Arabidopsis thaliana: one gene and its partners. The protein of the gene in region 2 interacts with the protein of the main gene of each other region in a biochemical or structural test. Each region holds a gene or a part of one and is shown on either strand. Other genes may lie near its edges.

What was found.
Region 1: the proteins of LFY (region 2) and BRM form a complex in vitro, tested with the Arabidopsis thaliana proteins (one study listed by BioGRID).
Region 3: the proteins of LFY (region 2) and UFO form a complex in vitro, tested with the Arabidopsis thaliana proteins (one study listed by BioGRID).
Region 4: the proteins of LFY (region 2) and MYB17 form a complex in vitro, tested with the Arabidopsis thaliana proteins (one study listed by BioGRID).

The regions. Positions count from the first base shown.
Region 1 is NC_003071.7:18,920,728-18,929,244, reverse strand, and holds the start of BRM (transcription regulatory protein SNF2), read right to left. Parts: upstream 6,713-8,517; 5' UTR 6,045-6,712; intron 5,969-6,044; 5' UTR 5,942-5,968; coding exon 5,768-5,941; intron 5,471-5,767; coding exon 4,196-5,470; intron 4,073-4,195; coding exon 2,765-4,072; intron 2,595-2,764; coding exon 2,482-2,594; intron 2,264-2,481; coding exon 2,176-2,263; intron 2,081-2,175; coding exon 1,994-2,080; intron 1,883-1,993; coding exon 1,790-1,882; intron 1,480-1,789; coding exon 1,396-1,479; coding exon of another isoform or gene 1,381-1,395; intron 1,319-1,380; coding exon 1,115-1,318; intron 993-1,114; coding exon 750-992; intron 677-749; coding exon 1-676. Other genes in the region: AT2G46000 (LDL receptor wingless signaling/trafficking chaperone), read left to right, coding at 7,198-7,515, 7,656-7,784, 7,872-8,051; AT2G45990 (ribosomal RNA small subunit methyltransferase G), read right to left, coding at 8,202-8,302, 8,381-8,457. UniProt on the Arabidopsis thaliana protein: ATPase subunit of a multiprotein complex equivalent of the SWI/SNF complex that acts by remodeling the chromatin by catalyzing an ATP-dependent alteration in the structure of nucleosomal DNA.
Region 2 is NC_003076.8:24,840,666-24,849,216, forward strand, and holds LFY (floral meristem identity control protein LEAFY (LFY)), read left to right. Parts: upstream 1-3,582; 5' UTR 3,583-3,629; coding exon 3,630-4,086; intron 4,087-4,544; coding exon 4,545-4,951; intron 4,952-5,857; coding exon 5,858-6,268; 3' UTR 6,269-6,324; downstream 6,325-8,551. Other genes in the region: GUT1 (Exostosin family protein), read right to left, coding at 154-542, 936-1,038; AT5G61865 (uncharacterized protein), read left to right, coding at 6,730-6,924, 7,151-7,258, 7,334-7,399, 8,066-8,551. UniProt on the Arabidopsis thaliana protein: Probable transcription factor that promotes early floral meristem identity in synergy with APETALA1.
Region 3 is NC_003070.9:11,032,967-11,040,445, reverse strand, and holds UFO (F-box family protein), read right to left. Parts: upstream 4,455-7,479; 5' UTR 4,267-4,454; coding exon 2,938-4,266; downstream 1-2,937. Other genes in the region: AT1G30960 (GTP-binding family protein), read left to right, coding at 469-987, 1,184-1,273, 1,381-1,526, 1,860-2,018, 2,113-2,287, 2,381-2,520, 2,607-2,691. UniProt on the Arabidopsis thaliana protein: Component of SCF(ASK-cullin-F-box) E3 ubiquitin ligase complexes, which may mediate the ubiquitination and subsequent proteasomal degradation of target proteins. Considered as a meristem identity factor required for normal growth of the young floral meristem.
Region 4 is NC_003074.8:22,667,962-22,675,742, forward strand, and holds MYB17 (myb domain protein 17), read left to right. Parts: upstream 1-2,767; 5' UTR 2,768-3,344; coding exon 3,345-3,477; intron 3,478-3,735; coding exon 3,736-3,865; intron 3,866-3,953; coding exon 3,954-4,590; 3' UTR 4,591-4,790; downstream 4,791-7,781. Other genes in the region: AT3G61240 (DEA(D/H)-box RNA helicase family protein), read left to right, coding at 179-430, 520-700, 792-880, 955-1,028, 1,115-1,193; AT3G61260 (Remorin family protein), read right to left, coding at 7,442-7,636, 7,725-7,781. UniProt on the Arabidopsis thaliana protein: Transcription factor that may play a role in flower development by repressing ANT. Regulates the transition of meristem identity from vegetative growth to flowering. Acts downstream of LFY and upstream of AP1. Directly activates AP1 to promote floral fate.

The DNA of each region.
Region 1 (8,517 bases), on a different chromosome or scaffold from region 2:
TAAGCTCGTCCTCCTTTTGATGGCTGGAGAGTTTTTCAACAACTGCCTCCATATAAATCACTTTTACTTCCCTTGTCTGCCCTATACGATGGGCTCTGGCAACTGCTTGTTCCTCATTCTTGGGATTTGGATCAGGATCATATATAACAACTGTGTCAGCAGTCTGAAGGTTGAGACCCCGTCCAGCTGCACGTATACTAAGCAAGAAGATAAAGCAATCCGTATCAGGATCATTGAAGTCCACAATAGCTGATTCCCGATCTTCTAGGCTGGTAGTCCCATCAATTCTTCTGTATACAAGCCTTCTCCATTGTAGATACTCTTCCAAGATATCAAGAAGTTTAGTCATTGTACTGAAGAGCAATACACGATGGCCTGTCCTCTGTAGCTTTATAAGGATCCTGTCCAGAATCCACAATTTTCCACATGACCTTACGAGGAAATCTTTGGAAAAGTCATTGAAATATGGATAATTGAGCAAAGGATGATTGCAGGCTTTCCTCAACTCCATGCACCTATTATTTAAAGTTCTATATATCTTGGCTTGGTATATCGGATTCTTTTGAGCCCTAAGTTTTTCATCGTCTGGATCAACTCTAAGAGTTCCAGTCGCTTTAATCCAATCATAAACGGCACTCTGAATAGCAGACATTCTACATCGTAAGACTACAGAAACCTGCAACCCAAAAGCATAATCAGAGGAAATATCTAGACGGAAAATAACAGCAAAAATATAAGATAGATCCTACCTTAGCAGGAAGTGACCCTTCCACATCCTCAACACGGCGTCTGAGCATGAATGGCTCTAAAATTTGATGAAGTCTGTGAATGACTATGACCTTTTTTTCAGTCTCCAGCCAGTCATCTTCTATATTATGCGCAGGACCTTCTTTTTGAAAGGGTTGCGCAAACCAATCATGAAATGCTTTTCGATTGTCAAAGACATCAGGAAGGAGAAGGTTCAATAGTGACCAAAGCTCTTTCAGATCGTTCTGCAAGATTTAATAAAAGCAGGATAAGAATAGTCAAATAATGTAAACAGCTTATACAATCTTGGTTTCCATTTGTTATATGTCCTGATTTATGCCCAAGTAGCTATACAGCTATTACCAACCTGCAAAGGTGTTCCAGTGAGAAGTAATCTCCTCTGGCAGCGATACCGGTCAAGATCTCGGGCCAAAACAGATTCTCTGTCCTTCATCCGTTGTGCTTCATCAATTATAATATATTTCCAGTCAACTTTTGAGAGTTTTGATCGATCATACATAATGAACTCATAAGTCGTAACGAGGACATTGAACTTCATGGCGCAAACCTCCTGTTAAAGAGAACAGGGGATGTATCAATTAACGTCTTCAAAACATCTGGAGCAAAAGAAACTTTTTCAAATTTTACCTGAGAGAACAATTTTGAACGTTGATCCTTTGTACCAACATAATATATGCATGAAACAGATGGCAGCCAAGTATGGAGTTCACTCTGCAGAAGAAAACCCATTGGACTTTAATCAGGTACCAGAGAGAAGTCAACGAAAGATAGCAAAAAAACTTATACGTATTCTAAAGAACACAGAAGAGTTCATCAACAGGATATGGCCATGTCAGCGCAACTAACAGCTAGTTAGCTAGAGTCAAAGTTAAGCTTAGATAATGGATATAAGAGGCTTGTGGGTTCTCGCGGAACTGAGTGAGATAATTATGAGTTGGGAGACTTGGGGTCTCAAATACTCCCTTGGTTCTAAGCATTGATTCTGTGGAAAATCATAAGAGAGTCTATCAGAAACACAAACCTTCCAATTCACCAGAACAGCATTGGGAACGATGATGAGATGCGGTCCATAATTCCCTTTAAACTCCATAAGGTAAGCAATCAGTGCCATTACCTGTACAAAACAATTAGTATATTATGATAGGACAATATAATAATTTATTGGTCACCAAAGGCGAAAGAAAAGTAAATCCAGGAATCCCTGCAAATCGGGAACAGATTTAACCTGAACAGTTTTTCCAAGACCCATCTCATCAGCCAAGATCCCGTTTAATTTGTTATTATACAACGATAGCATCCATTGTAATCCAACCTGATTGGCACAGAGCAAAAAACCTTAGAAACCATCAAAACGTGGCATGACAGTGAGAAAAAAGCAACAACATAGAGTATAGATGGAGGAGATACCAGCTGGTAATCACGCAAAGTTCCAGCCTGAAGCATTGAAGGTTGTCTTACAACCACTTCATTTACAGCATGAGCCAGAGTATAGTACCTAGAGTTGGACATAACAGAGTTAGACATCACCCACGGCGCCTATTCCTAATCTTGTGATCTGTAGAATTCTCTCACATATGGATGTGCAGGATTATCAGCATTTTACAGATAAGCACATACTTTTTAAGTATTCAGCTGCATTGGTAATTATGAGTTACAACTAGTACTTTGCTAATTCCCTATTTTAATCATTTTTTGTGTGACTAATGCCCTTACTTGTTGACAGATGAATTTTCTTTTGGCGCATTCATTTCCGTAAATCTATTTCTGATCACAACTTCTTCTCGAGCACAAGTAGCTGCTGCCCTGACCTCTTCTTCTGACAACCCCTGCGTCAAAAACGGAAACAGGTAAGGTACTATATATCCACTATACCTTTGAAAAGAAAAAGTTCTATTTTCTGAAACACGCAAAAGTCAACATTTAAGTTAAAGTTTGAAGAATTATCTACAGAGTGTAATGGATATTCGCTGTGGAGTAGAGAAAGCAGTATGTATACCTGCAATCTCGCTGCTACTGCTGCAGCATTTGCTGCCTCCTCCACTTCCTGTTGATTTTTTGTGGCAGTAATCTTACCTCCAAGTTTATGAAGATAATCTTCGGTTTGGGTCAAAAATGAAGAGAGAACAGCATATCTTTCAGCAGCATCACCAGGCATATTAGTTTGCTGTTCCAGCAACATCTCCCTGTATCTTTCTACATCATTATTCTTCAAGGCCTCCATCCTTTTGTTGCGGCCATCATCTTTTCTCTTTGAAAACTCTCTCAACATCTTTTCATGGTATTTGGCCACTCCCCTGTTACGAGCAGTGCGTGCATCACGTATAGCCCAATGAGCCTCAAGGAGTTTCTTACGCCACTGAAAAATGGTTTTCAGCTGCTTCTCTCTGACAGCTTTCTGATTGGCCAGTACTTGTCTATTCATTTCTAGGCGTTGCCGTTCGCATAACCTCACAAATTTGCGGTACGGCCTATCCGGCATGGACATTATCTCCTGTTGTTGTCGATCTACTTCCTCTCTAACACGAGACTGAAGATCAGATAGCCTAAGCTTTTTCTCTTCAATTTGAAGCCGTAAAACAAGATCAGGCCTAATCCTTTTCCTTTCTAAATTTTTTGCTAGCAGACCATTTATCTTCTTCAAACTGTCTGTTCTTTTCTTACTAAGGAACTCTGCACCTTCTTCACAAATCAGATCTTTAATATCATATGCTAATGTGAGATTGTTATTGGCATTGGCTGTTGCAGACCCATAAGAGTCAAGTTTTCGAGTGAAAAAGGGAAAATCAAACAACGGTCCATAATATTTCCTGGCAGAGGCTGTATCCTTGGGCGGCTGGGGAGAGTTTGCTTGTGGAGGAACCTTAGATTGGCTTCCATCAGATGCAACAGCCTTTCCCTTATCAGCTGTAGAATCACTTCTAGGATTCTTTTGAGTACTAGAATCTGCTCCTTGGTCTGACTTAACAGGGAATACATCAGTCTGTTGCTCCTCTTTCGTAGCCACGTCAGTAGAAGTAGCTTCTTTTCCCAGGTTTTGAAATAATTGGCTGTGGCCTGTCGTCAAAGCTACTTCTGTATCTCCAACATTATCTTCCTCTTTAGAAAAAATTGGTCCATTTGAAGAAGCAGCAGCCTGAGACTCCTTGCCACACTCTAGCGACCTTGCTTGGTCTTCTCCAGTTTTGTCTGAAGATCTATCCTGAACTTTCCCTATGGCAGGAGATATTTGCCTCTGCGTCTGTAGTTCAAGCGGTGGTGGAGAAATAGCTTGAAGAAGCTCCGGAGGCAAAGAACCTTCCCCTTTCTGTCAAAAAAAAGCAATTAAAAACATTCAACCTGGCTTGCAGACACGTTATTTATAGGCATACATCTCCAGCAAAACATACAATAAAAATGAAGACATAAGGAAAAAGTCAGAGCTGAAAACCTTCAAACGCCTAAATGCCAGTATCTGGGCTTTGAGAACATGGAGTTGCTGTTTGGTAAATCCTGATCGCTGCTGTGCTTGTTGGGTCCCCTGTCCACTCTGAAGGGACGAGTTACTGAGTGGACCAGTATCAGATGGCGCTACTAAATTTGGAGTCGGTGTATTCAGTTGCCTAGGCTGCTGCATTTGCAAATGTTCAGCAGGACCTAAACTTTTTTTTGTAGATGCATTCTGATCCAAAACAGGAGTCTCATTTGCAGAAGTCTGCAGGGGATTTCCTGAGGGCATCCCATTTGTAGGCTGAACTAAATGTCGAGGATACATTGGATTCTCTCTCCCTTGGCCGGAGAAGGGATTCATAGCAGGATTGACCATTCTGGGACTGGAAGTCGAGGCAAATGAGCCAGTAGATAATGCATGTCTGGCCTTCGCTGATCCTGACTGCCCAGAGATATCACTAGCAGAGTTGGCATGTGGTGAATTCTCACCTGGAACAACCGAAGATGAAGCCGGCTGGCTAGAGATTGGAATAGATGGTGACTGTGAGGCCACATTGCCTTCACCAGCTTTCTGTTGAGCAGCCATTCTTGCCTGAAGGATGTGTGCCATTTGGCTGGCGTTGGCAGGATGTGAGAGATCGATATTACGCTCACGCGCCCATGCCTGCATTGCCTGCCACTGTTGTGCAAATGCGAGTTGGTTGTTTCCCATGTTATTGACAAGCTGCTGAGCCTGTGGTGCTTGCATTGGCCTTATCATATTTCCAGGCATTAGTTGTCCGGTACCCACCTGCTGCTGAGGATGAGATTTTGTTTCGTTCCTTTGCTGAGAACTTGATTCAGTCTGCCTTTCACCGCGAGCAAACTGATCGCCCGATGGCTTCGATGATGAGGCCTGGGGCTGACTAGACGGATTCAAGTCTTGCATATTCAACATTCCCATTCGTGCATCTTGATCCTTTCCCACACTTGATGAACCCACCATTCCCATCCTAGCTTGCTGCTGTGCTTTTTGATGCTGAGCCTGCATAGCAAACTGAATATACGCTTGCTGCATTGGATTAAAATTTTGCTGGCCCTCTTGGGTAGAAGAACCCTGTTGTTGTTGTTGTTGTTGTTGCTGAGGAGACTCAAAAAAATTTCTAGACTGCTGAGGCATTTGCATAGAGCCCGGAGACGAAGCAAAGTTGCCACCGCCCATCATTCCCTGAACCCCACCAGGTTGATATGCAAACATATTTTCGTTTGTATCTGAGTTTCTGTGCTGCTGCTGCTGCTGCCATATCAGAAGCACGATAATAATTAGTAACAATCAAATGAACAATAATCCACAATTCAGAGCAACTATATATATATGTGGAAATGAACAAAACATGTTCTCCAAGTGGCTACCATTACACAACTTCAATTTAAAGATATTGGTTACTTTCCTTTTACACAGAATTGATAAACAGTCAAGTCCCACTAAAATTGAATAGCCGCAAGTTTAACAGACAAACATTAGCCACTACAAACAAGCATTTTATCCCTCCTAAGTCATAACGAACCAAACAGAGACTTGAGAATCCTTTACCTGCCTAGACGCCAGCTGCTGTTGCTGTTGCTGCTGTTGCTGTTGCTGTTGCTGCTGCTGCACAGATGAAGAGGAAGAAGAAGGAGAAGCAGCGGATGACGTGGAAGCAGTCCGACCAGCCGGACCCATGGCCGGATTCCGAGCGGGCCCTCCGCCACTGCCTCCAGATTGCATGCAATTGGTCGAAGAATCTGACAGTCACTACACTGGAAACAATTAAACCCAATGCACAACGAAGCTAGTAGAAGAAGACAAAAAAAAAGTGGAAAAACCCTACCCAATAAATCCCTACAAAAGAATTCGGACAGCGAGAGCCCCCGAGGCAAAGGAAAAAACCTCAAATAGCAACAGAGAGAGAGAGAGAGAGAGAGAGAGAGAGACACTGAGTCGGTTGAAGCGCACACACCTTTCTATTTCTCTCTCTTCTTAGATTTGCATCGAATTTGGGGGAAATCGGAAAACGAAAGTCGCGGGGGATGCAACGGTATAAACTCAGATCCTTTGAGATGGCTTCTCGAAAAATAAAAATAAAAAGGGAGGGAAACGAAATCCACGGAATCGATGATCGATTCCTCTCTTTGAGAAATTCACGCAGATCAGAAATTTCTCGCAGTCAAACCCTAGCTGGCTTCTTACTTCCCTTTTTCTTTTTTTTCTCTTTCTTTTTTTTTTTGGAAGGGGCATTAATTTTATTTTATTTTTGATTGTAGGTCCCACGCCTCGATACAGTTGGAACACGGAAAATGCGTTTCACGAGGCCACCCCTCGGTTTTCGCTTTTATTACCACAAGTACCCTTCCTTATACAAGTCAGTTGCACAAATGACGATGAGACACGTGTGAATTTACCAAACGTTCCTTTTGTTAACCAAATGGAATGACTTTTAATTTTTCCATGTTTATTTCAAATATTTGTTTCCGTATTGGGTAATAAGAATACTAAAATGATACTACTATAAACAAATTTGGAAATCAAAAAAAGAAAAAAAAAAACAAATTTGGAAATCAAATTAGACTTATGTTTGTTTTACTTGATTAATTAATTTGAATTTAAAATTAGACAAATTTTGACTTTTAGTTTTACCTTCTGTAGTGCAGTAGTAGATTAGAGAGAATCATACAATTACCCTTGTTTTATTTACGGTGCAACCTCGTGTCGTTTTCATCTTTCAGCCTTGATATGCTTGCCATCTTTACGTCAATAGTTGGCACGCAGTTCTATTTTAAGATAGAAAAACGGCGAACAGTTTTGAACCAGCAGGTTCAGTTTATGTCGTTAATAGTTTTTTTTCCCGAAACAAGTAAAAAGTCACATTATTATGGTTTTGTGACTTGTGTGCGAGTTTGTAGAAGCTTTACTGATATAGAAATGCCGTTGCCGATGCAGTCTCTCTTCCTCTGTTTCTGATTCCTGAATAAATTTGTTAAACGATGGAGAAGATCGTTCGTTCTTCTTCGCTGATTCTACTTGTTGGCCTCCTTCTTTTTATGAATTTTCACGGATTTGTCCGGATCGCCGAAGCAACGAAGCGACGGATCGAGATCTCCGATGACCTAGACGACGTTGAAGACAATGAAGAAGACGAGTCATGGAAAGAGTGGGGGAAGAAAGCAACGACCCCGGAATTTGATCCGCCTCCGGATTTCACCAATATGGGATTCGATCAGATCCAAGAGGAAATGGCTAAACGGACTTTTGGAACCGTCGTCGGTTTCGTCAAGCTCCGGTTAGGCGTCCCCCGTACCAAGGTAAACTAAAATCCAAATCGAATCGTGAATTTGGGGTCCTTAAGTTATAGTTTCAGTTACTGTTCAAAATTCTCTGAATTCGATATGGGTCCAGTTGCTTCAGGGGATTGAATAGTGATCTGTTTATATGTTTCAATCAGGATGTGGTGATTGATATTGCTATGAAATGGACAAAAGTTTTAAGAACAGGAGGGATAGGAGTAAGATTCATGGCTGTAGATCGAAGCACAGTGATGTTCAATATGCAAAATGGGAAGCTTGTGACTGAGGTAAAAGCCACAGAAAACACACAATGCTGAAAACTTTGTTTAGTGGATTAGTCAAAATCTAACATCACAATCATATCTTTCAATTAGCTAAGGGAATTCGTGCTGAGCCAAGAAGAAGCTTACGAGGTCAAGATAGGGAAGCAAGAGTTTAGAAGACCTGGAGATCCTCCATTTGAAGATGTCTTTGACAAATTTCAAGCTGAGCAAAGGAAAGATCACGAAGATGGTGATGGTAACAAGAATGATCTTACTAAGGATGAATTATAGGTCACAGAAAAGCTTCTATAATGGGTAGTACTGAAAGTTCAACTCTTTTACTGAATCTTACCTAAACATGTTTGGTTTTTAGTTTCCGTTGAATGCCGTAGAATACAATAAAGAGGAAAGCTTTGTTTCTTTTCCAATGAGTATATGCACTCATTTAAGCTTATTGCTAAACGTGGAGAGCTCAATAACCTGAATCCTGGGAATGCCTGCTGCTTCAGCTCTCTCTTTCTCAGTGTTGTATCCCCAGGTTCCTGTTTTGAGATAAGTTTTTGTCAGAATAACCAATAAGGGGAACCAGAAGTGATGATATGGGAGAGGGAAGAGACCACCTAGGTATAAACTCCATTTGTCTAATTCAGGCTCTTTTATGACATTTTTCAGCGTTGCGAGTCTGTCTTCCACGAAACTGGCCAAATTAAAAATGCATAGGGATTGTAAACTAATGGTGACCATTACCAAGTCATGC
Region 2 (8,551 bases):
ATTTCTTCACAACTTGCAGAACTGCAAATAATTTAGAGTGCATGTTCATAGTAGCACACCATCATTTAGAATAGTGTAGAAGTATTGATCAAGCAAGCAAAGCCTACTTAGGATAGAAAGAAAAAGAGACTGAGAAAAGATTCTATTGTTTACTTGATAATGGAAACAGGCTCCAAAGTCATGAGGCACAACAAAGAAGTGGTCTGCTCCTTCTGTGCGATTCCAGTATGGCCAATTGGAAGCAATAAGCTGAATGGCACTTCTCATCATTCGTGGAGATTTAAAAGGAAGAGGAAGCCCATTAGGCGTGAGATCACAAGTGGTGTACACAGGTACGTAGAACCAATCAGCTTCCTCGGGATTAAGTGTTCGAACTGGGCTAGATAAAAGAAACCGTTGCATATATATCTCAGCAGCAAACATGTGGTTTAGACATCTCGGATCCTTCTGAAGTATCTTCTTGTTGTATTTACTTGGAAGCTCATAAACAAAGACTTTCAGTCTTCCCACGGGATCATCTTCCAACACATCACCAGCACTACCTAAACATCAGAGAAGAAAAAAACAGATACACACTTAAAGTTCACATCATAAGCAAGGATTAACTATGTAGCTCAATCACAGAACCTGAAAGATAATGCTCATCAAAGTAAAAAGTTCAAAAACAAGATATAGAATCGGCTTATTCAGGCATGAATATTGTCATATACAATTTACAAATCAGATGCATCTTGATTTACATTTTCCCCAGGTTCAACAAGTGAAAACGAAACCCCTAGTCTTCATTCGACTAGCAAACTAGCTGATGACTACACAAGATAACTACGGCAAATCCCTAGAACTAAGCTGCATCATCCAAGTAAAATTATGAAACCTGAGAATTCACAAAATCCATAGATTAACCTTCTCTGCATAGACTGATAGATAGAACTCACCTGAAATTCGCTCAGTTGGTTGACTCCGACTCAGACGGAAAGCAGAAATCGAGGAGAATGTGTTACATAGAAGGAAGATCAAAACGCAGCTCGATAACTTCATTTTTCTCTCTCAGAAATTTTGGTTCCTCCCTAAAAACTCTTCAAAATCCCAGATCATATAAAGTATATAAAGATCAACTAGAACAGCTGAAATGTCAGAAGAAGTAGTTGCTAAAACCGGAACCCCGAGATTGAGACTTCAAAACCGGAACAAAATTTACAAAATTCGCTACCGATTGTTAGATCTCACTCACGCCCAGCGTTGACAGCGAGAGCCCAGCGATTTTCATTTGAAGATGCGAAGAAAGCAAGAAGAAAGTTGAAGAAGATTCGTCTATGGCCTATACGACGTCGTTTGAAAGGGATCCATTTTTCGCAAAGGAAAGTCGTTGGGGACTTGAACATTCCACGTCAGCCTCTTTTCCACTTTAAAAAATAACAATGTAATGGGCTGACCGAGAAGATATAAACGCAGCCCATTATTTAATGGGCAAAAGTGTTTTCTTTTTGGGTTAAAGTGTGATTCCGTTCTTGTGAACCTAGTTGTAAACTTTTGTAACTGCAAAGTGTAGTTCGGTCTTGTTTATCCGGTATATTGAATTTTGAAACAGTAATAAATAGCTGAATTAAGTCACTTTTGAGTTGTTTTTCTTTAATGTGAAAATGATACTGAGAAAATAGGGTAGTAATAGGAGGCTTTAGAACAGATTATTCAGTCTTTTCAAGATTCTAAAACTCCAACAGTTAAATAACAGTGGTGAAAACAGTATCAAGAGTACGAGCCGCTACTCGCAATGATGAAGATGATGATATATAATAGTAATGAATTTATATGTTGTAAACTTGTAATGTTAAAGATTAATAATAAACTAAATGAGAGAAAGGACAAAGAAAAGGTAAGAGGAAACTGAGGGAGTGAGACAGTCAAAATAAAACAGACTGAGAGCATTAAGAATGCCAGTCTCTCAGAACTTCGATTTGACCTGTCGTTTCCTCATTGGCTACCTTTCCAACATTAAAGTTTTTTATCGGCTCAATTCCAATGTTATAATTTTTTATATATTTTCACATCATTCTTTTTTTTCACTGTTTAGTCACAAAGTTTACGTAACCCATATGTCCAATCCCACACTTTAATTTGTATTTTTAGTTCCAACATATAAAAATAACAAAATAACCATTGCTTTTTTCCCCACTTTAATTTGTAAGTTCTTTCTGTTATTTAATAAATTTGACATTACCAAAAAAAAAATTTTTAGATGGGTGAATATATATAGAAATGTAACTTATCAAATTGATTCGGTTTTCTGATTTTCTTAACGACTAAAAAAAATATATGTGTACTAGGGCAATAGGGGTAATTACAAATCAGGGAGATGACAACACGTAAGAGATAGTTGAAGAGATTAGACCGAAACACACCTGACCTCCTCTCCTTCTGGAGTTTTCACACTGCATTTATCAATTAATGTTTCCTAAAACGCAGATAGATAAAGGTTTCATTTATTAGCTTATGTTTATTTAAAGCAAAAGAACAACTTGTGGCTATATATAGTAGATTAACAATCTCAGACTCAGAGTGCTGATATTTCTTATCATACAAAATTTATCTTCCCCTAACAATACTTCCAAAGCTTATTTAGATAGACATATATGGAATTATGGATAATGGATTCCCTTAAGTTATATGAATCATAGGGGAATATAATTTTAGTAACTTATCGGGCTTCTGCAAAGATTGTGCATGGTACCATGCGTCCATGCCAATACAGTTAAAGTTTACATAATACAAATTTTTACGTATTTCTATATATCATATATGACTTACAGATTATCATAGCTTAATATAGCCAGTATTGCCAACTTTCCATTCGTACCTAGAACTTATAAGAAGATTGGAAAGGATATTAAAATTGAAAAAGACGTAGGTTGGCCATGTATCTTAAGATAGTTAAACGATATCAGCAATCTATCAATAATCAATCTATCGTAACAAATATTTTTGTCATAAATGTATTTGTAGATTTTTTTTTTTATACTTTTAGATGGTTAAATGTTCAAGAAATCTAACCAAATGGTGGAATGGTTCCGTTTGATCGTGCTCTCATGGTACAAACAATGAGACCCCCCAAAAAAAAAAAACCCCCGAGGATGAAATTAAAACAAATAACACAGCTTGAACAAAACATCAAAAACAGAGGATCATCACAGTAAATATTAATACTTGAACAAAACATCAAAAAGATAGGATCATCACAGTAAATATTAATATGCATAAAGAAGAGAATCACCACAGTGAAAACCCTAATCATTTTATATTCCTACGTGTCAAATTATGAATGGTCATAATCAGAGTAGAGAAAAAGAATGTCGATGAAAGAAAAAGTTTGACTTGTTAAGTCCCAACTGTCAATTTCCCAGCAAGACACATATCTTCTTTTACATCACATTACATCTACACATAAATGCTTTATTGCAAAAATAGCGATATAAAAAAAGAATATACAAAAACCTAGTATTTATTTTCTAGATTCTTTACTGTTGTATATATAGAAGTTGCTCGAGTGGTCATTTTTACAATAAAGCAATCTGCTCAAAAGAGTAAAGAAAGAGAGAAAAAGAGAGTGATAGAGAGAGAGAGAAAAATAGATTATGGATCCTGAAGGTTTCACGAGTGGCTTATTCCGGTGGAACCCAACGAGAGCATTGGTTCAAGCACCACCTCCGGTTCCACCTCCGCTGCAGCAACAGCCGGTGACACCGCAGACGGCTGCTTTTGGGATGCGACTTGGTGGTTTAGAGGGACTATTCGGTCCGTACGGTATACGTTTCTACACGGCGGCGAAGATAGCGGAGTTAGGTTTTACGGCGAGCACGCTTGTGGGTATGAAGGACGAGGAGCTTGAAGAGATGATGAATAGTCTCTCTCATATCTTTCGTTGGGAGCTTCTTGTTGGTGAACGGTACGGTATCAAAGCTGCCGTTAGAGCTGAACGGAGACGATTGCAAGAAGAGGAGGAAGAGGAATCTTCTAGACGCCGTCATTTGCTACTCTCCGCCGCTGGTGATTCCGGTACTCATCACGCTCTTGATGCTCTCTCCCAAGAAGGTACAATAATTATGAATACATATAGAAATATCAAATATCGCACGTTTTATAAATATGTGTATATATTGTTCTCAACATTTCTATGCCCGACTTTCAAGAAAAAGTATGTATATGTTCACGTGACTAATATAGATAACTAATTTATGAATCTTACCATATGTATAGTAGTTGCTACATAATTTTATGTTTAAGCTTTTTTTTTGGTTAAATATATTGGTTAAGCTTTTGTTACATAATACAAGATAATATATGTCATATTTAATTTATATGTTGGATATATTTACTTGTATGATATTGATTTAGAGCTACTGTGTGTATAGAGTATGCAGTCATAGTCTGATATTTATTAAATAGACCTAGTGCAAGAAGTACGAGGATTAATGTCATGTACAGGAATTCAAAGAGTATATACGCCTAAACTTGAATAATTTTTTGTGATTGTGACAATTTATATGTAGATGATTGGACAGGGTTATCTGAGGAACCGGTGCAGCAACAAGACCAGACTGATGCGGCGGGGAATAACGGCGGAGGAGGAAGTGGTTACTGGGACGCAGGTCAAGGAAAGATGAAGAAGCAACAGCAGCAGAGACGGAGAAAGAAACCAATGCTGACGTCAGTGGAAACCGACGAAGACGTCAACGAAGGTGAGGATGACGACGGGATGGATAACGGCAACGGAGGTAGTGGTTTGGGGACAGAGAGACAGAGGGAGCATCCGTTTATCGTAACGGAGCCTGGGGAAGTGGCACGTGGCAAAAAGAACGGCTTAGATTATCTGTTCCACTTGTACGAACAATGCCGTGAGTTCCTTCTTCAGGTCCAGACAATTGCTAAAGACCGTGGCGAAAAATGCCCCACCAAGGTATCTTTTGATTTATCTTCTAAGAACTAATCCTGACCGTTCATTATCTTGAAATTTATGTTTCAAACAAAAGTTTAAAAAATGGTGTCGGAAGTTATGGGGTATGGTAGGGGAACTATAGCTATAATCATGGACAGCTGTTCTAAAAGCAAGTTTGACAAATCACGATTTCTCAGGGTTTTCAATTTTTTATTTTTTTTTGCTATGTCTCGCAACAAAATTTAGGTTCTAATTTATTAAATTTTTCATTTTGTTTTCATACTGTCTTCAGCATAAATATAGTTAGATTTCAATTTCAATTTTGACAGTAAACGTACGACAACGTGTCGAGTTAGGGAAAGGACATAGTTGTTTCTTTGTTTTTGGCTATAACGACATGAGATAGTTAGATACGATATACAAATTTTTGCATGCATTCACACATAGTACACATAGATATTATTAGACTTTTTGACAATTAATAGGGATATTTGTTGTATGTATATATTATTATATCTAGTTACAGTCTATTGCTCGGCGGATAATAGAGGGTCCTCTTTCCTCTAGTGATGATAGTACAGAATCCATGAGCTCTGTGCCATTGCTTGTACAGACGCACGTTACTAAGAAAATCTAATTTATTTGTTTTCTTTCTAAATTTGTTATTGGTTCCAATATTTTGATTATTGTGTTGTTTTTATCAAAAACCTTTTTGTTATCTAATTTTTTGGGTTTAGTTAAGTGTCAAGTCTAACAAGGGTTATAAAAAATATCTAACAACTACGGTTATAATTTTGGTAGGCATTTTTTTTTAATCATTGTTTACCGAATTAAAACCAAACTTATTAGGTTTCATTTTTCCTACTATATATCTCATGATAAATGATTTGTTTGATTATATTGATGTTGGGGAAAATGTGTAAATAGGTGACGAACCAAGTATTCAGGTACGCGAAGAAATCAGGAGCGAGTTACATAAACAAGCCTAAAATGCGACACTACGTTCACTGTTACGCTCTCCACTGCCTAGACGAAGAAGCTTCAAATGCTCTCAGAAGAGCGTTTAAAGAACGCGGTGAGAACGTTGGCTCATGGCGTCAGGCTTGTTACAAGCCACTTGTGAACATCGCTTGTCGTCATGGCTGGGATATAGACGCCGTCTTTAACGCTCATCCTCGTCTCTCTATTTGGTATGTTCCAACAAAGCTGCGTCAGCTTTGCCATTTGGAGCGGAACAATGCGGTTGCTGCGGCTGCGGCTTTAGTTGGCGGTATTAGCTGTACCGGATCGTCGACGTCTGGACGTGGTGGATGCGGCGGCGACGACTTGCGTTTCTAGTTTGGTTTGGGTAGTTGTGGTTTGTTTAGTCGTTATCCTAATTAACTATTAGTCTTTAATTTAGTCTTCTTGGCTAATTTATTTTTCTTTTTTTGTCAAAACCTTTAATTTGTTATGGCTAATTTGTTATACACGCAGTTTTCTTAATGCGTTAACGGATTTTAAAACCAATTTGGTCAAACTCAAAAGTACTAAGATACATTTGAGTTAAGAGCACTGAAAATAACCATTCATACATCGAGAAAGAACTGTGAAGGTGTCATCAGTATAATTAATCAATAATGGGCCAGTTTGAGACAAATATATGGGCCTGGTTTGAGACAAATAGATGGGCCGTGGATATATAAACTTGTGTGTCAGAAATTGCAAACGAAGAAAACAAAAGAGAATTTGAGAAACGACTGTTTGAAATTCGAATCCATTTCTCTTCGGACTTGTGTGATAACTGATTTCCTCCTACAATGGAGTTCCCGCCAAGAGCGTTTTATCCACGGAGATTCCAGGCCTCTCCGGCGCAATACACGGCGGAGGAAAGTGCTGCAGCAGTATCGGCGCCAGATCTCCGAGATAAGCTCGCGACACTGGTCGATCGCACCAAGAAAGTGAAAATGGCGTACCATCAACTCCAATCGCAGATCGCGTTCGGCCTTGTCGAAGTAAAGATAAATGCTCTTCTCTAGTTTGTTAGATTCGATTTCTAAGTAGATCTAAGCTTGATTCAAACGAATTTGAGAGAGGTAATCCTATTATCTGGTTTGGTAGATTCGAGCTTGATTTGAACGATTCCGAGTGTTGCGTACTCTTTAAATTGGTAGTTTCAAGCTTAATTTGAACAATTGTGGGTGTTGCAACGAATTTGATAGAGAATTTGATAATTTAAAGGCAGGTGAAGTTTTCGATTCTCTGGCGATCCCTTTGATGAAGTTGGTTGGGCTGAAAACGTCGGAGATGGAGAGTGAAGGGAGACACTCCGCCTTTATTTTCAATACTGTGAGTGATATCAATCATCTTCTTGTAGAATCATGAAATTGCAAATTTTCAGATCATTACTCTAATTTTCATCAGGAAAGGTATCATCATATGGATACTGCACGGTCTGGTGATCTGAACATTCAAATTCGCAGTTCAAAGGTAGTATAGTAGTATACATCATGATTCTTATAACATATGTATGCCTAGTTATAATGAAGACTGAACGTGAACCAATTGATATGATTCTGAAACTGTTATGTGTCTAGGCAAGTGTCATTCTGATGATTCTGTATATGTGTATCCCTTGTTCTACTATAGATGTGATGCGAAAAAAGCAATATGATTCTGAAATTGTAACGGGTCTTGTCAAGCTTCACTTTGGTGATTGCCTATTTAGTATGACTAATTTTACTAGATATTGAATGTGAAACCAAACAATGTGATCCTGAAACTGTAAAGCGTCTAGTCAAGTTTTAGTTTGGTGATTCCTTATACATGTATACCTAATTCTGGTATAGAGTGAATGCAGACTAATAAATATGATCATGAAACTGTGATGTGCCTAGTCAAGTTTCATTCTGGTGATTCGTTATTAATGTTTGGCTAGTTCTGCTATAGATTAATGAGAACCAATAGGGAATATAGTTTAGATGCTGTCTTCTCTACACTTTCTGTTTCAAATTTTAATCAATTGCATCACAAAGCTGTTTGGAAAACCATTTGTACCTTCATGTGGGTTTGGAGCTTGCAGTTAAATATATAATTCTGCCTACTTTGAGTGGATTTCTTCCTCAGAAGTTCATTTGAAGTATCATGATTTTGTAGGAAGAAAACTATGCTGCTAAAGCCGAAACAGCGGGGAAAGAGATCTTGCACAAGCATAAGGGGCAGCTGAGACAGTTAGTTCATATGCTTAAGCACATTGAAACACAGGTGAATTCACATCGGGAAGATATTCTGCAGATGGTTGACGATCGTAGAACCTTCTTCCAAGAATTCATCCAGAAGTCTCTTTATTACCTAAGCTCGGTTCACAGCCAAAACCATGACACTTTCCCTGTCACAGTGAAGCTCCTTCGCGTACTATTTAATAACATCAACGAGGTGCTTGGTTCAGTAGATACTGGAGTCAATGATTTTATGCAGGCTTTAGCAAAGAATATGTGTCACCCGATGACCAAGTACGTAGGCAACTTGGCTGCTGAAATAAAGCATGGCCCTTGTGTGCAACTGATGAATGTAGTGAATGAGATGGAGAGATCAAACTCAGATACAAGGAGAGAGCTACAAGATGCTAGAGAAAGGATTAGA
Region 3 (7,479 bases), on a different chromosome or scaffold from region 2:
CATTACATTGTTTAGGGATCTCAGAGATGTTTTTTCTCAGAAGTTTAGTCCTTTTTTTTTTTGGTCGTTGGAGACTTGGAGGAAGAACTTTGTCTCCTTTTCTTCTGAATTGATCAAAGTATTATATTATACAGATTCACCCAAAATGTTTGCACCATGTTGTTCAATATTTTGCCAAAACAAAATTGACTAATATTCCTTCCATTAACTGTATATTCAAACTCCAATTGATACGATTAGTATGAATTTTTGTTGTATTGCTACTTTGCTAGTAGTAATTATATCGAATACAAAGTTAGGGACTACGTTGGATTTGTCAAAAAGTGAGGGGCCTATCTGTAATATTGAGTTACTTTGTCACCACTTCCCCAAAACATCAAAACCTCTAAAACCCTCGGAAGCCTCTTCTGTTACATTTCGTTCAAATCTGTACTTCTCCGAGATCGCTACTTCGCCATTGTTACAAAAATGAAAGCTTTTAGATCTCTACGTATACTAATTTCCATCTCACGAACGACGACGAAGACAACACCTCGTAATCCCCATCAAGCACAAAACTTTCTCCGCCGATTTTACTCAGCGCAGCCGAATCTAGACGAACCCACTTCCATCAATGAAGACGGATCAAGCAGCGACTCTGTTTTCGATAGTAGTCAATACCCAATCGACGATTCCAATGTAGATTCCGTGAAGAAGCCCAAGGAAGCAACTTGGGATAAAGGGTACAGAGAAAGAGTAAACAAAGCCTTCTTTGGAAACTTGACAGAGAAAGGTAAAGTGAAAGTTGCAGAAGAAGAGAGTTCTGAAGATGATGAGGATAGTGTTGATAGGTCAAGGATTCTCGCTAAGGCTCTCTTAGAGGCTGCGTTAGAGTCACCAGATGAAGAACTTGGTGAAGGTGAAGTTAGAGAAGAAGATCAGAAGTCGCTTAATGTCGGCATCATCGGTCCACCTAATGCAGGAAAATCTTCGCTGACTAATTTCATGGTTGGCTCATTTCCTTAATTTCACATTCCTGTGATTTGGTCTCTGAGAATCAATTGAGACATTGTGTATATGTTTATGTAGTGCTGCTATGACTCTTGATTAGTCCTAAAGTTGCAATTTTTGAAGTGATTGTGTATCTTTGTTTATTGCATCTTGATGAGAGTTATGCTTAGTGTTTCGTTATGTCCAAGTGTAGGTTGGAACAAAGGTTGCTGCTGCTTCACGGAAGACTAACACGACGACACATGAAGTGTTAGGAGTATTGACAAAAGGAGATACACAAGTCGTAAGTTTTCTCTTATATATCTGTTGCATATGTAAACTACTCGTTATGGTTAGTTGTGGAGATCAGCCATTCGTAGATTGAATTTTTGATATTTGTGAACCTTGCAGTGTTTCTTCGATACTCCGGGTCTGATGCTGAAGAAAAGCGGATATGGTTACAAAGACATCAAGGCTCGTGTGCAAAATGCTTGGACTTCTGTTGACCTGTTTGATGTCCTCATTGTTATGTTTGATGTCCATAGGCATCTCATGAGGTTAGTCGTTTACTAGTTTTTGTACTTTGTTAGCTTTACATAAGTTATCTCGGAACTGAGAGTAGTATGGTTATGAGCATCATCATCAAGTGGGGTATCTTAGGGTGGGATTATTATTTCTAGCTTCTCTGTTTCGATATCTTTCATATCTTGTTCATCTCTCCGAGATTATCCATAAGCTTGAGAACCGTAAACCGATGGGAAGACACATCTATTTCTTTCTTTTGAAGAAGGCATCATGACTGTGGTTTTTCATTAATTACAAGTAGAAATAGAGTTCTCTTAGACTTATTTTGTAGTTTGTGAATTCTGTTTTCTCTTTGATTTATCTAGTCCCGATTCAAGAGTGGTACGCTTGATCAAATACATGGGAGAAGAAGAAAATCCGAAACAAAAGCGCGTTTTATGTATGAACAAAGTTGATCTGGTTGAGAAGAAAAAGGATCTATTAAAGGTTGCTGAGGAGTTCCAAGATCTTCCGGCATATGAAAGGTGGATATATATATACCAGACTCAGTTTAAAAACAATTACCGGGGAAGTCTTCGAATTGATTGAAATGTGCTTTTTCCCTGTTTGGTTTTCTAGATACTTCATGATATCGGGACTTAAGGGATCAGGAGTGAAAGATCTTTCCCAATACTTAATGGATCAGGCTGTTAAAAAACCATGGGAAGAAGATGCATTCACGATGAGTGAAGAAGTCTTGAAGAACATTTCTCTTGAAGTTGTTAGGGAGAGATTACTAGACCATGTCCATCAGGTAATAATACAACCTCTACTAGTATAACATTTTGTATCAGTTTCCGTCTATTCCAAGATGACAAATTACAGGATTGATTGAAACAAATTGTAGGAAATACCATATGGTCTGGAGCACCGTCTAGTGGACTGGAAAGAGCTGCGTGACGGGTCTCTTAGAATTGAACAGCATCTCATCACTCCTAAACTTAGCCAACGCAAGATTCTTGTAGGCAAGGGCGGTTGCAAGATCGGGTAAGAGCATACAAGATCGTTCATAATTCATTCTTTTGACTAATCAATGACTCAAGGATGATCTTATGTTGATGCTAATTTTGCAGGAGGATAGGAATTGAGGCCAATGAAGAACTCAGGAGAATAATGAACCGCAAAGTTCATCTCATTCTCCAGGTTAAGCTCAAGTGAAACCATTCTCCCAAGGGTTATGTTTTTGAGTTTGATGGATTTAGGATTGGATTGTACGCAATTAGAAATCTGTCTGTATATGTTGTTGACATGTTGTCAAAGATTAGACATTTGACATTAGAAATATAAACTTACTACATACAGACAGTAATAAGATAAAAGAAACAGAATTTTGAGAAAACAACAAGCAGTCTTAACGTCAGAAGTGGAAACCACAAGTAGTCTCTTTATCTTAAAGTCTAAAAACTAACAGACTCCAGGAAATGGAAGTGTTAACTGATCAAGAAGACTAACCACCGGTGTAGTAAGCACCGGGTCATAAGCAAAACCCTGCAAGACCTCTCCGTCTGAACCGCCACCTGAGCTACCGCCACCACTGCCGGAGTAAGGACACGGTGGGACCCACAGCCAGCTTTTTCTCACTATATCAAACAGCAACTGCAACGAGGTTCCTCTTAACACAATCATTACAAACTCTTGATTTCCGACACACTCGAATCCTTTTCCACCTTCTTCTGCTGCAAACTGTGTGTAGAGCGGCTGAGGCATCCGTTCGATCTCGACCCATGTGGCGTTATCTTGTTGCAAACTCCAAAGTCGTAGGCTTTTGGGAACGTTCAACTTGCTTTTCTCAACAGCTGCTACAAGAATAAGCCTCCCTTTGCTCTCTAACAAGCTTGGAGATCTGAGAAATCTCCTCATCGGAGCTTGAATCTTGATCCACCGGTTTCCAGTAACTTCATAGGACAAAACGCTAAAAGGGCTATAGTTCATACAGTAAAACTTGCCTTGCACGTAAACCATCTTACCAGATTCCAAGCTACAAAGCCGTGGCAAAGAAGAAGTCATCGCCCAGAGGGAAAAGAATCCGCCGGCGTCGACATGGAAACTCTCCGATGAGAGGTTTTTCACAGCGTAAGGAGATATGAGATCATCTCCAGCGACAGTAACATCAATAGAGGTTGGTGTTACCGAGAGACCTATCGAAGGGAAAAGCCTTGGCCTTGATATTGGTGGCAACTGACTCACGGATCCGACAAGAGGGTTACACAAGAGAATGGTTTTAAGACCAGCTTCTTCGGAGACCCAACTCACTAACCCTCCTGATGATCCTGAAGGATAAAACCCTGAAGGGATATAAGCAAAAGAGAGACGGTACCATCGGATCTCATTAGGATCAAACAAAAAGCCTTCAGCTTTATTGGAATCATCATCGTTTGTTCCTCCTCTCTTGTAAATGTAACTCTTTAGGGTTTTGTGTTTGAAGAAGAGGAAACAGTTGTGTCGGAGAGGAAGTAGTTGTAGATATGTCTCGAGGAAGGTGTTGGAGAAAAGTAGACTGTAGAATCTCTTGCAGACGCAACGTGTCCGGAAAAACGCCGGAGGTGGAAGAAAAGCAATGACGCGGTCAAGAAGAGGAGGTGGTAGCTTGCTCCAAATCCGACCGTCCATCCATTGACCGGAGCTTGAGTCTGTGGTGGTGCTCGTTGTTGTGCTACTGTTGCTGCTACTGGTAAATGTGTAAGAGAAAGGTAAGGTTAAAGATGGGTTATTGATGAACACAGTTGAATCCATTTTAGCTGAAAAATGAAAAGATTTGGTGAAAGTGGATTTAGAGTTTATTTTCTTGTGTTGGGAATATGTGAAGGGCTTTTGAGGAGGGTTTTGGTGAAAGTTATGCAAAACCCATTGTAGGAAAAGAGGCAAAGATCATATGTAAAAGTTTTGAAGAAAGAGACAAAAGTGTTTGGTCTTTCTCTGTGAGCTTCTTGCATGGGTTTTTGATATGTTCTTGACTTCAATAGAGTAAGGTGGCATATACTTATATATAAAGAACATTTGGTATAAAACAAACAAAGGTAATGGATTTATACAAATAGAAAACATATATTATATTGAATAGAAAAAGAAATAGTGTTTCTTTATTGTTAAAAAGGTATAGTAGTAAGTAAGTAGTGACACACCAACCAAAAAAAAAATAACTCAGAAATTTATGTTTATTTTCTATCAACGTAAAAGATTATATATGTTAATGTTTTAGTTGATAGCTTAGCTTACAGACGTTTTTCTATTTGTGTGCTGACAAAAAGAGATTGGAAGTAAAAAATCAGTTGATATATGTTGTTATTTTCTAAACAGAAATAATAAAATACGTCTAAAAAACTAAACCGGTCAAGTGGCCAAGACAAGAGAAATAGGTTTAATTCCAAATAATCTAAATTTCACAAGAAAATTGGATATATATTTTTAATATTAAAGTGTGTTTCGAATATATATAACGGATGTACTTTGTTATCATACGAACCTAGAACATCAACAAGCACAAGTATCCAAAAGCCTTGTTATAACCCCAGTTTGGTGATAATTATTGACTAACAAAATTTTGTTTGTATATGTGTGTGTTTGGGTAAACGTGAAAATGGTGGCAGAGGAAGTGATGGTCTTAAAGTTGAGAGCTTCAGAGTTATCTTGTCAATGCCCAGCATCGAAATTATTAATTTGGAGACTACTCCAATACTTTTCACACTTGATCACATCTTCAAATCTTTTTTCTTTCTTTCTTTTTCCTCTCTAATTTGTAATATACAACTTTTATTACATGCACGCTTCTCAACTTCTATAATGGTCAGTCAAATTGTACTCGTGGAGATCAACCCAAGAAAACTAGAGATTATTAAGATCATTTTTTTACTTATATATTATATCAAGCCAATTAGAATTACTTTATATGTTAATATATATGTGTGTTTTATTCTAAATAAATTAGTTGGTTCTCTAATGTCATAGAAGTGCATTTATTCTAAATAATTTTGTTGGAGGAGACCACATTATCTTATTCGAACTCAACACAAAATTTGACAATATCTACTTTTTTAGTTTCTAATTATTTGATGTTTTGAGTTATTTTTACTTGTTCGACCAAAATTAATGTTTTATAAAAATATTGTTATTATTTTTGCTTGTGACTAATAATAAAAAAAGAAAAATAAAATTACTAAACTAACAAAAAAATAATTTTATAAAAATAGAAAACATATTTTTTATTAATTTCTATCTAAAATCCAAAACATCAAATAAAGAGGAACATAGTGAGTATGGTTTTAAAAGACTCCAACAATAAAACTTCCATCTAGGAAGAAAAACTGATAACATGTATAACACACAAGAATGTTATTTCTAAACATGAGAAATAGATATACACAAAATTTAATATGAATTATGATGCATTTTTGTCATGTGATCCAGTTTGTTCCTAAATTATAGCAGAAATAGCTCTTAGTTTATCCCCTTTTTTTAAAGAGTAAACAAACAAACTATATGTTAGTATGTTACCCTTATTTGATGTTGTTGCAATTTAATGTGAAACAATTCATTATATACACTATATATATATATATAGTGATTATTTTTTCTTATAAATTGTAAACTCTTTCAAACTCTAAAACCTCCAAGTCCAAGATAATGAACTTCTTGTTTAGGGAAAATAAAACTAGCTTTCATACAAATCTCAAATATATCAATTTACATCTAATTTGCAAACAAAAGAATTTTAGACATCACAAAACATTTACAACTCAATTTCTAATTAATTCTTTATCCAGAAAAAAAATTCTTATATTAATCATTGCTAGCTATAATCAAGGTTTAGAAATAAATAAAAGGAGTTTGGATTTTTTGAGATTAGGGTTAGAGAGACATCATGACTGAAAATAAAGAAGAAGAAAGAGTGAAGAGTAGAGTCAGATCAAAAGTCCAATCAGGGTTTCTTATTTAAGGCATTGTTTACCGTGAAAATAATAATACAAGTGAGAATATCTGAAGCTGACAAGTCGCAAAAGGGTAATAATATTCTCTATTTGCAGTAACTCAAGAGGCTTCGCTTTTGTTTGTGTTTTGATGCTAAAGGAAGTCTCTGAAACCAAACAGTGTCTTGTTTTTATCAAATCATCTATCTTCCCATTTCCCAACTAGGTTTTGTTTAACTTTGAATTACGCTTACAAGTCGTACCCATAATAAATAGTCTGATTTAACATTAAAGCATAAACTTTTAATGAAGCATCTCTTTCTAAACTTAATAATAAAACATAATCTGATTTTATTTTGTCGCCCACATTAACTGATTCGAAACTCCATTCATGCCATTATGTAGTTTTATTTACACACATGTGTTAATTGGTACGTAGTAGAGTTATGGATATAAATTTCCGGCCCAAAGTGGAAATTGATATTGTAATTTGTAAGAAGAACTAGTTTACGGCCAGCGTTATGCGCGGACAAATTAGTTAGAATCAATTAAATAATTATATTTTGTAAATGTCTTTACATCATTAGAAGATCAAACAATTTTGTAAAGCATAATGCATATATTAAAAAGTTTGGATATTTCTTGATTAATTGAAATCGGGTCTAATAGTTATAGTGGTTAAACCTCTGAACATATTTCATTAGTTTAACAGAACTGGTATATGACATGAGAACTTTACACACGTTCGGTTATAAGTACGACATGCAAACTGAAAACCAGATATTTTAAACCGTTTTTGTGACATTATTTGCGTCTAGTACATATGTGCTTATGTGTCTAACTTGTTTCCTCCACGTACCAAGGCATACCACACCTATAGAAAAATGCAAAACCATTTTTAGTATAGTTACCGACAATCACTCATCAACTTTCCAAAAGAAAACAAATAGAGTTAAATTCAAAGAAAAACGTTTATTTTTATTTTGAATATAATTTAACATTAAATTCAAAAAGATAAAAGGTAGTTGTGTCCAGAACTTGA
Region 4 (7,781 bases), on a different chromosome or scaffold from region 2:
CTTTATCATCCTCTATACATATGCATAGTTATACTTACTACTGTTAACAGTCATTTACCCCTTACTTTGGTGAATTTTGAAGATCTTTCTTGTGTGTTGTTATATTCACCTGAGTTTATTTTGTTTTATTGTGTCATAAGCTTCAAAGTTTCTGACTCCTTAAAAATGATTTCTCCAGGCCGACAAGCTTTTGTCTGCAGAATTCCAACCTTCTCTAGAGGAATTGATACAGTTTCTACCCCAAAATCGTCAGTTTTTGATGTTTTCCGCCACATTCCCTGTCACTGTTAAGGCTTTTAAGGATCGACATCTCCGGAAGCCCTATGTTATCAATCTCATGGATCAACTCACGCTTATGGGTGTCACGCAATATTATGCTTTTGTCGAAGAAAGACAGAAGGTTCACTGCCTCAACACACTTTTCTCTAAGGTCAGATGTCTAGATTTATCCCTGTAACTACAGAATTATGAGGGGCTTGATTTAGATGTTCTAAAGTGGTTATGGTTTTTCAATCCCAGCTGCAAATAAATCAATCGATAATCTTTTGCAACTCTGTCAATCGCGTGGAGCTGTTGGCTAAGAAAATCACAGAACTTGGTTATTCATGCTTCTACATTCATGCAAAGATGGTTCAAGACCACAGGAACAGAGTATTCCACGAGTTCCGCAATGGTGCTTGCAGGAATCTCGTTTGCACTGGTAAGCTTTGTGTTTTTTAGCATGTACTTTGAACATTGACCAAGTGTAGATTATGATGATGATGATCTGGCTTATTGGAAAATGACTGCAGATCTGTTTACTCGAGGAATTGACATTCAAGCTGTGAATGTCGTGATCAACTTTGATTTTCCTAGGACTTCTGAGTCATATCTACACAGGGTTAGTCGAAACAAAACTGGTTTGTGATCTAGTTTCTTACATGTTCATTTTAACTCATGTTGCGAAATGTTCAGGTGGGTCGATCAGGACGGTTTGGACACCTTGGATTGGCTGTGAATTTGGTAACTTATGAGGACCGTTTCAAAATGTATGTCGTTCCTTCTTTTCAATGTTCTAACCGGTTTTTCTATTCTGTTAAAGTTTTCTTAGTCATTTATCATGTTTTGAAAACAGGTATCAGACTGAGCAAGAACTTGGGACCGAAATCAAACCAATTCCTTCTAATATCGATCAAGCAATCTACTGTCAGTAAACTTGTAACTGTGCATGAAACGTGTCTCCACCCAATGAGAGGTACAAGATGGTTAAAATGGTAAGAGTAAGACGAATCCTCTCTCTTAGGCTTAACTTGTCAAAACAACATTTAAAATCAAAAAGCTATATTGCATGTTTAAGACCAGTGTGCCCAATATTTCAGGTGTTTCTCAAGCTCGAGGGGAGGAGATGAGGCAACTAGTACTTGGCGGTTCATGTAAAGACTCGTTACTCAGTGGTTTGGTTCCTAATCTCTCTTAAAGACACTTGTTATCTGGTTCTATGGAAACCTCTTTACGCTGCACTTATTATGAGACTCCCTTTGACTTGGTTAGTAATAAAGATAGAACGTATGACTCTCCTCTTTTTTATTTTCGTGTTGGGCTCTGTTTGGAATTATGGGCTTTATCCTATTTAGGATCTATTTATCATGAAAGTTGCACTTCTTAATTTTTGCTTCCACGGAATTATTTTGATTTTTCCAAAATATTTTCTTCCACATGCTTATTATTCTAGTTTGGTATTAAGCTATTTTCGTCAAAATGTTTGAACCGTAACCAATCTTGTTTTATAGTGTTATATCCATTGAGAAATTATAGTTTTCACGTGTTTATTTATTTATTTGGGTTATTAAACATAAATCATGTAAATCTGAATCCTGTGGAGATCTCTCCCTAGTTGATGAATAGATATGATGAATTTAATTCTTTCATGAAATAAAAATATATGAAACATATGTAGCAGAAAAAGAAGCATATCTATGAAACAACAAACATTCAAAAAAAAAAGGAAAACGGAAAATTATTAATATGAAAACTACGGCTTTGACTTGTAGCTGACTACATTTACGACATATATATATAAATGGACCCCACTGAGTGTCTGCAAGGTCTTTACACAACAGTATCTTCTTCTGTTTCTTTGACTCTTTGTGATCCCTAAGCCTACCCATAATACGTGTCTACATTTTATTGGATTGTTTCGTGACTCTGTAATCTTTTTTATAAGAAAACAAGTAATAGTGAAATTGAAGTAAATAGCTCAGCACAGAAACTTCGACAAAAATAACTCACAGATTAGAAAAGAAAATATATGCATAAATAGCCATGGTTCATTTATGAACAATTTATTCGTTTTTTTAGTTTATAATTTCATTAAAACATGTTTGTCACATCACATTTCATGTCCTTCGGCTCCTACTACAACAACAAGTCACTGTCATCTCCATTACTTCCACTTCTGCTCCTTTCTTTATTAACTTGTTCAAAAACAATTCTAAGATAAATAACAATAAATGTTGGTCTCTCTTTATTATTTCCCGGCTAAAGAAGGAGGATGTCTCGTATTATCCGCCATCAATGCTCTTTTGTTTCCTGTTTCTTGCAATTTGAATCCCTGAGAATCCTAGCCCACTTATTTACTACTTTGCCTTAGCTGTTTTCGACATCAAAATTTTGGTCATATGACTCATATCAATCTTCAAATTTGATAAAATATGTTCCCAATTCACAAAAACAAAAAAGTTTTCGAAAGCTCAAAAACCTTTACCATTTCAATAGTAGATAGGATTCTTTTAGATTTGCATTTCACGAAAAGAGAAGAAAAAAAATCGAAAAATATTTGCAATCATGATTTTTTGTTTCTGAAGGAGACCTGTAGTTGCTGTCATGAACATTAAATACAAATCTAATAAATGTTGTACGAATTTTGCGTGTAATAAATGGTCAGGGCCGGCTCGAAGCTCGCTGATCGTCCTTTTTTCGTGTCTCTATAGCAACACACAATCGTATTTATTTCAAACTTTTTTTACTTTGTTTCCCATCCATCAAATATAAGTATAAAAATGTAAAGAATCATCATATATAGATCGTAAATTCATTGCTTCCTTTGGCTTTTTATTTCATCTAGACGACGTTAAAACCAGACCAGACCAAATACATTTATCATTTTTCCCTTTTTTCTAAAATTCTCTCTTTGATTCCTATCTTCTTCTCTTTATTTTCACTTTGTGCTTTCTCTGTCTCTCCTATTATGAGTCTAAAAGTCTACTAGCTGTTCAATAGTTTTGTCTTTCTGTGTTTCTTCTTCTTCAAAACCGAAAGAAATTCAAAAAGAGTCTTTCGCTGCTTGTTAGTGGGGTGAGGAACAAATGGGAAGAACACCTTGTTGTGACAAGATTGGTTTGAAGAAAGGTCCTTGGACGCCTGAAGAAGATGAGGTTCTTGTTGCGCATATCAAGAAAAATGGACATGGAAGCTGGAGAACACTTCCTAAACTTGCTGGTAAACTTCATATTCTTCTTCCTCTTTCGTTTTTGTTAGATTCTTGAGGAGATTTCGGGGAAAGTTTTCATCTTTACATCAACATTTTTACTAGAAACTCCATAACTATGGTTCTTTGACTTGTTGGAGAAGGAAAGTTATCTCATTTATTAAGGTTTTGTTCCCTTTGGAGAAAATTCCATTAACTGGGGTTCTTCAGAGATTACATAGAGAAAAGCTTTAATCTTTATAACTTTCTTGTCGGTCATGGTGAAACAGGTTTACTTCGCTGTGGGAAGAGTTGCAGGCTGAGATGGACAAACTATCTGAGACCAGACATAAAGAGAGGTCCTTTCACTGCTGATGAAGAGAAACTTGTTATCCAGCTTCATGCCATTCTCGGCAACAGGTCTTTTACTTTGCTTCTCCACCTTCCTTCTCTACTCTAGCTATCTTCTTCTTCATTGTCTGAATTCTGCTTTTTTTTGTTTCCTCAGGTGGGCTGCTATTGCAGCACAGCTTCCAGGAAGAACAGACAACGAGATCAAGAACTTATGGAACACTCATTTGAAGAAACGTCTTTTATCTATGGGTCTTGATCCCAGAACTCATGAGCCATTACCTTCATATGGGTTAGCTAAACAAGCTCCATCTTCACCAACAACTCGCCACATGGCTCAATGGGAAAGTGCTAGGGTTGAAGCTGAGGCAAGGCTTTCTAGAGAATCAATGCTCTTTAGCCCTTCTTTTTACTCTGGTGTAGTAAAAACTGAATGTGATCACTTCTTACGCATTTGGAATTCCGAGATTGGTGAAGCTTTCAGGAATCTCGCTCCATTAGATGAATCAACTATTACTAGTCAAAGCCCTTGCTCGAGGGCAACATCGACCTCATCTGCACTTCTGAAGAGCTCAACAAATTCTTGGGGAGGGAAAGAGGTTACTGTGGCGATTCATGGCTCAGATTATTCTCCATATTCAAATGATCTTGAAGATGATTCAACAGACTCTGCTCTTCAACTTCTGCTTGATTTCCCTATAAGCGATGATGATATGAGCTTCTTGGAAGAGAACATTGACAGCTACTCACAGGCTCCTCCTATTGGTCTTGTTTCCATGGTTTCCAAATTCTAGTCTTATGAGAGCCTAATATCTAAGAAAAAGATTCAAACTTTGCTTCCTTTTGGTTTTTAGTGATGATAAGTAGGGATATAGTATCTATGTAAATCAGCATTAGTTAGTTGAAGTACTTAATCAACCCTTTCTTTTATGATTTGATCATGTTTGAGAAAATTGCAGAACATTAAACAATTAACCATTCATTCTCATGTTTTCACACACAGAATCAATATACAATCAACATTACATGAGAATAAAGAAATTTGCATATTGAAGACTAGAAACATCCACAAGTTGCCTTTGGAACAATTCCAATGGCTCTGTATTTAGCAGACGTTTCTTTCGCTATAAGAATGCTTGAGAAAATTGTAGATCAAGAACAAAAACTTCGAATGAATCCTAACATTTTGTGAGAATTGAATGAGAAGCTAGGTTATAAAAACATTTATAGACTTATGTTTTGTACGCCTTATAAAAAGAACATGATCAAACCCTAACACTCTACTACAAAGAAACAAAGTTAGAACCACAGTCAAATCCTTTAGATAGGGAAACTAGAATTCTAATTAATGGCGAATGGAGGAGACTACGTGACGATTACGTAACTAAAATTAAACAGACTCTGCTCTTCAACTTCTGCTTAATTTTCCGATAAGCGATGATGATATGAGCTTATTGGAAGAGAAGAGCTACACACAGACTCATGTTGGTCATGTCTCAATATATGGTTTCTTAATTCTTATCTTATGAAAGCCTAATATCTAAGAGAAAATATTCAAATTTTGCTTCTTTTTGGGTCTTCTGATTTTTTAGTGAACAGAGGTTACGTGACCGTTAAGTAACTAAATTAAATTAATTTTTGATGGTTTAGTAATTGCCAAATAAACCGAGAAGTGAAAAAAGGAAATTAACAACATAAGAGTTTTTGAAAAAAGGAAAAACAGAAAGTAAAAAAGGAAACTTGAATCCCTAACGGCTAACACATTAGAGAACATATTCTTTTATTAACCAGACCAGAAAAGAGAAGAGCGTCGTGATGGAAGATGATACATATTCTTCTTCGTTTAGAATCATTCCAGATATTAACGCCAACGCTCAGTGGTGATTTCTGATTCGGCTCTGTTCACATAGCCGTTAGTACGCGACGAATTAAGAAGATCAAGTCTGGTCAGACATTTCAGAAGCATCACGTCTTGATAAATCTACCGGAGATTTTGAGAGGAATTTGCAGTATAAACGGCAACTGACGACGGAGATGGCGATAGAGGCGGTGAATTTTGATCGGGGATTATAGGATTTGTTTTCAGTCACGGTGGCGGAGAAACTAACGGTTGGATTGCAATCTTCAAAACCATACGAAGCCCAACAATAAGAAAAGGAAATTCAGCCCATGATAGTCCATCAGATTATTAGTCAGGTCAATTTCTATCCCATCTTAATTTTCATTTTTAAATATTCACTTTTTATATTTTAATTCAAAGTTTTTTTTACTATACACACTAGTTCTTTTAGTAAAAAAAAAAGTTTTTAAAGATATATTTTTTATATTACTATAAAAACTTTAAGGTTTTTAGTTTGAATAAGTGTTAAATTTTTAAACTTTGTGTAAACTAATTGGATACAATATCCAAACCCCTTAGGTTCAATATGGTTTACACATTATTTAGATTTTTAACACTTGTTTTTTTTTCTTAAACAATATTTTTTATATTACTATTAAAATTAAGATTTTGTTTTTTTGGATAAGTGTTAAATTTTTAAATTTTATGTAAACTAATTGGATACAACATTCAAACCCCTAAATGGTGTTCTAGGTTCATTATGGTTTACACATTATTTAGATTTTTAACACTAGTTGTTTTTAAAAAATGTTGTTAAACTTACATTTTTTATATTACTATTAAAACTTTATGGTTTTCTTTTTCTGAATAAATGTTAAATTTTTAAATTTTGTGTAAACTAATTGGATACAACATCCAAACCCCTAAGCGGTGTTTTAGGTTTAATATATTTGATAAATTATTTCCTTTTTAACACTTGTTTTTCTTTTATTAATTATTTTAAAACTAATATTTTTTAAATTACTATTTAATTTTTAAATTTTGGATATGTATTAAATTTTTAAATTTTGTGTAAACTAATTTAGTTACGTAAAAGAACCGGATTTAGCATTCCGTCTTTTTTTGTTTGTAAGTATTGTGATTTCATTAAATTTAACACGTTTTCACATATTCAAAATTTAACACTTAAGGTTTTTCACAAGTAATATTATTAGTAAATTGTTTTCATTTTTAACTCAAAGTTTTTTACTATTAAAACTGTTTTTATTTTGAAATATGTTTTAGACATAAGTGTTAATTTAAAGATGTAAAAATAAAACTGATTTAGCATCATGTCCTTTTAGTCTGTAAGTTTTGTGTTATTAGTTCAACATTTTTTCATGTATTGTAAATCTCACATTTCGTTAGCTTTTAATGTTTTTCACAAATAATTTTCGAAGAAAATTGTTATAATTTAAACGAAATTAAATTTAAGTGTTACATTCAAAAATACGTTATAAACAAACTGAACTTAGGATCCCGTCCTTCGAATTTCTTTTGGTCCATTAGCTACTGTTATTAGTTGAAGAACTTTAGAAAATCTCCTCATATTCTTAATGACTTGAGTCATCAATCTTCTCTCCATGATGTGATGTGACAATGCTTGAGAAAATTGCGGAAAGAAAACAATGAAACATATTTTTCACTCTGATTGTCACACACAAAATCAATATACAAACAACATTACAAGCCATTAAAGAGAACAGAGAAATTTGATTACACTTTACAGTTACGAAGTCTTGAAACTTTGATTCGCAAATTCAAGATTAGAAACATCCACAAGTTGCCTTTGGAACAATTCCAGTGGCTCTGTATTTAGCAGCCGTTTCTTCTGCTTTAAGAACGTCTTCTCCACGCTTAGCTTCAATCATTGCTCTTCTCTCTTCTGCTTCCTTGTGAATCGCTGCAACCTTATTCTTCATCCTCTCTGCATACTCTGCTTTCTTCTTCTCTAGTTGCTCCTGCATTGAGAAAAAACTCACAAATTAACACTTCACTTCTCAATCACATTAAAACCGTTTCACCTCTCTATTGCTAAGTTTATTATACCTCGATTTTCTTGAGTTGCGCTTCGACAGCTGCTTTCTTGCTGTTTTCCCAAGCATG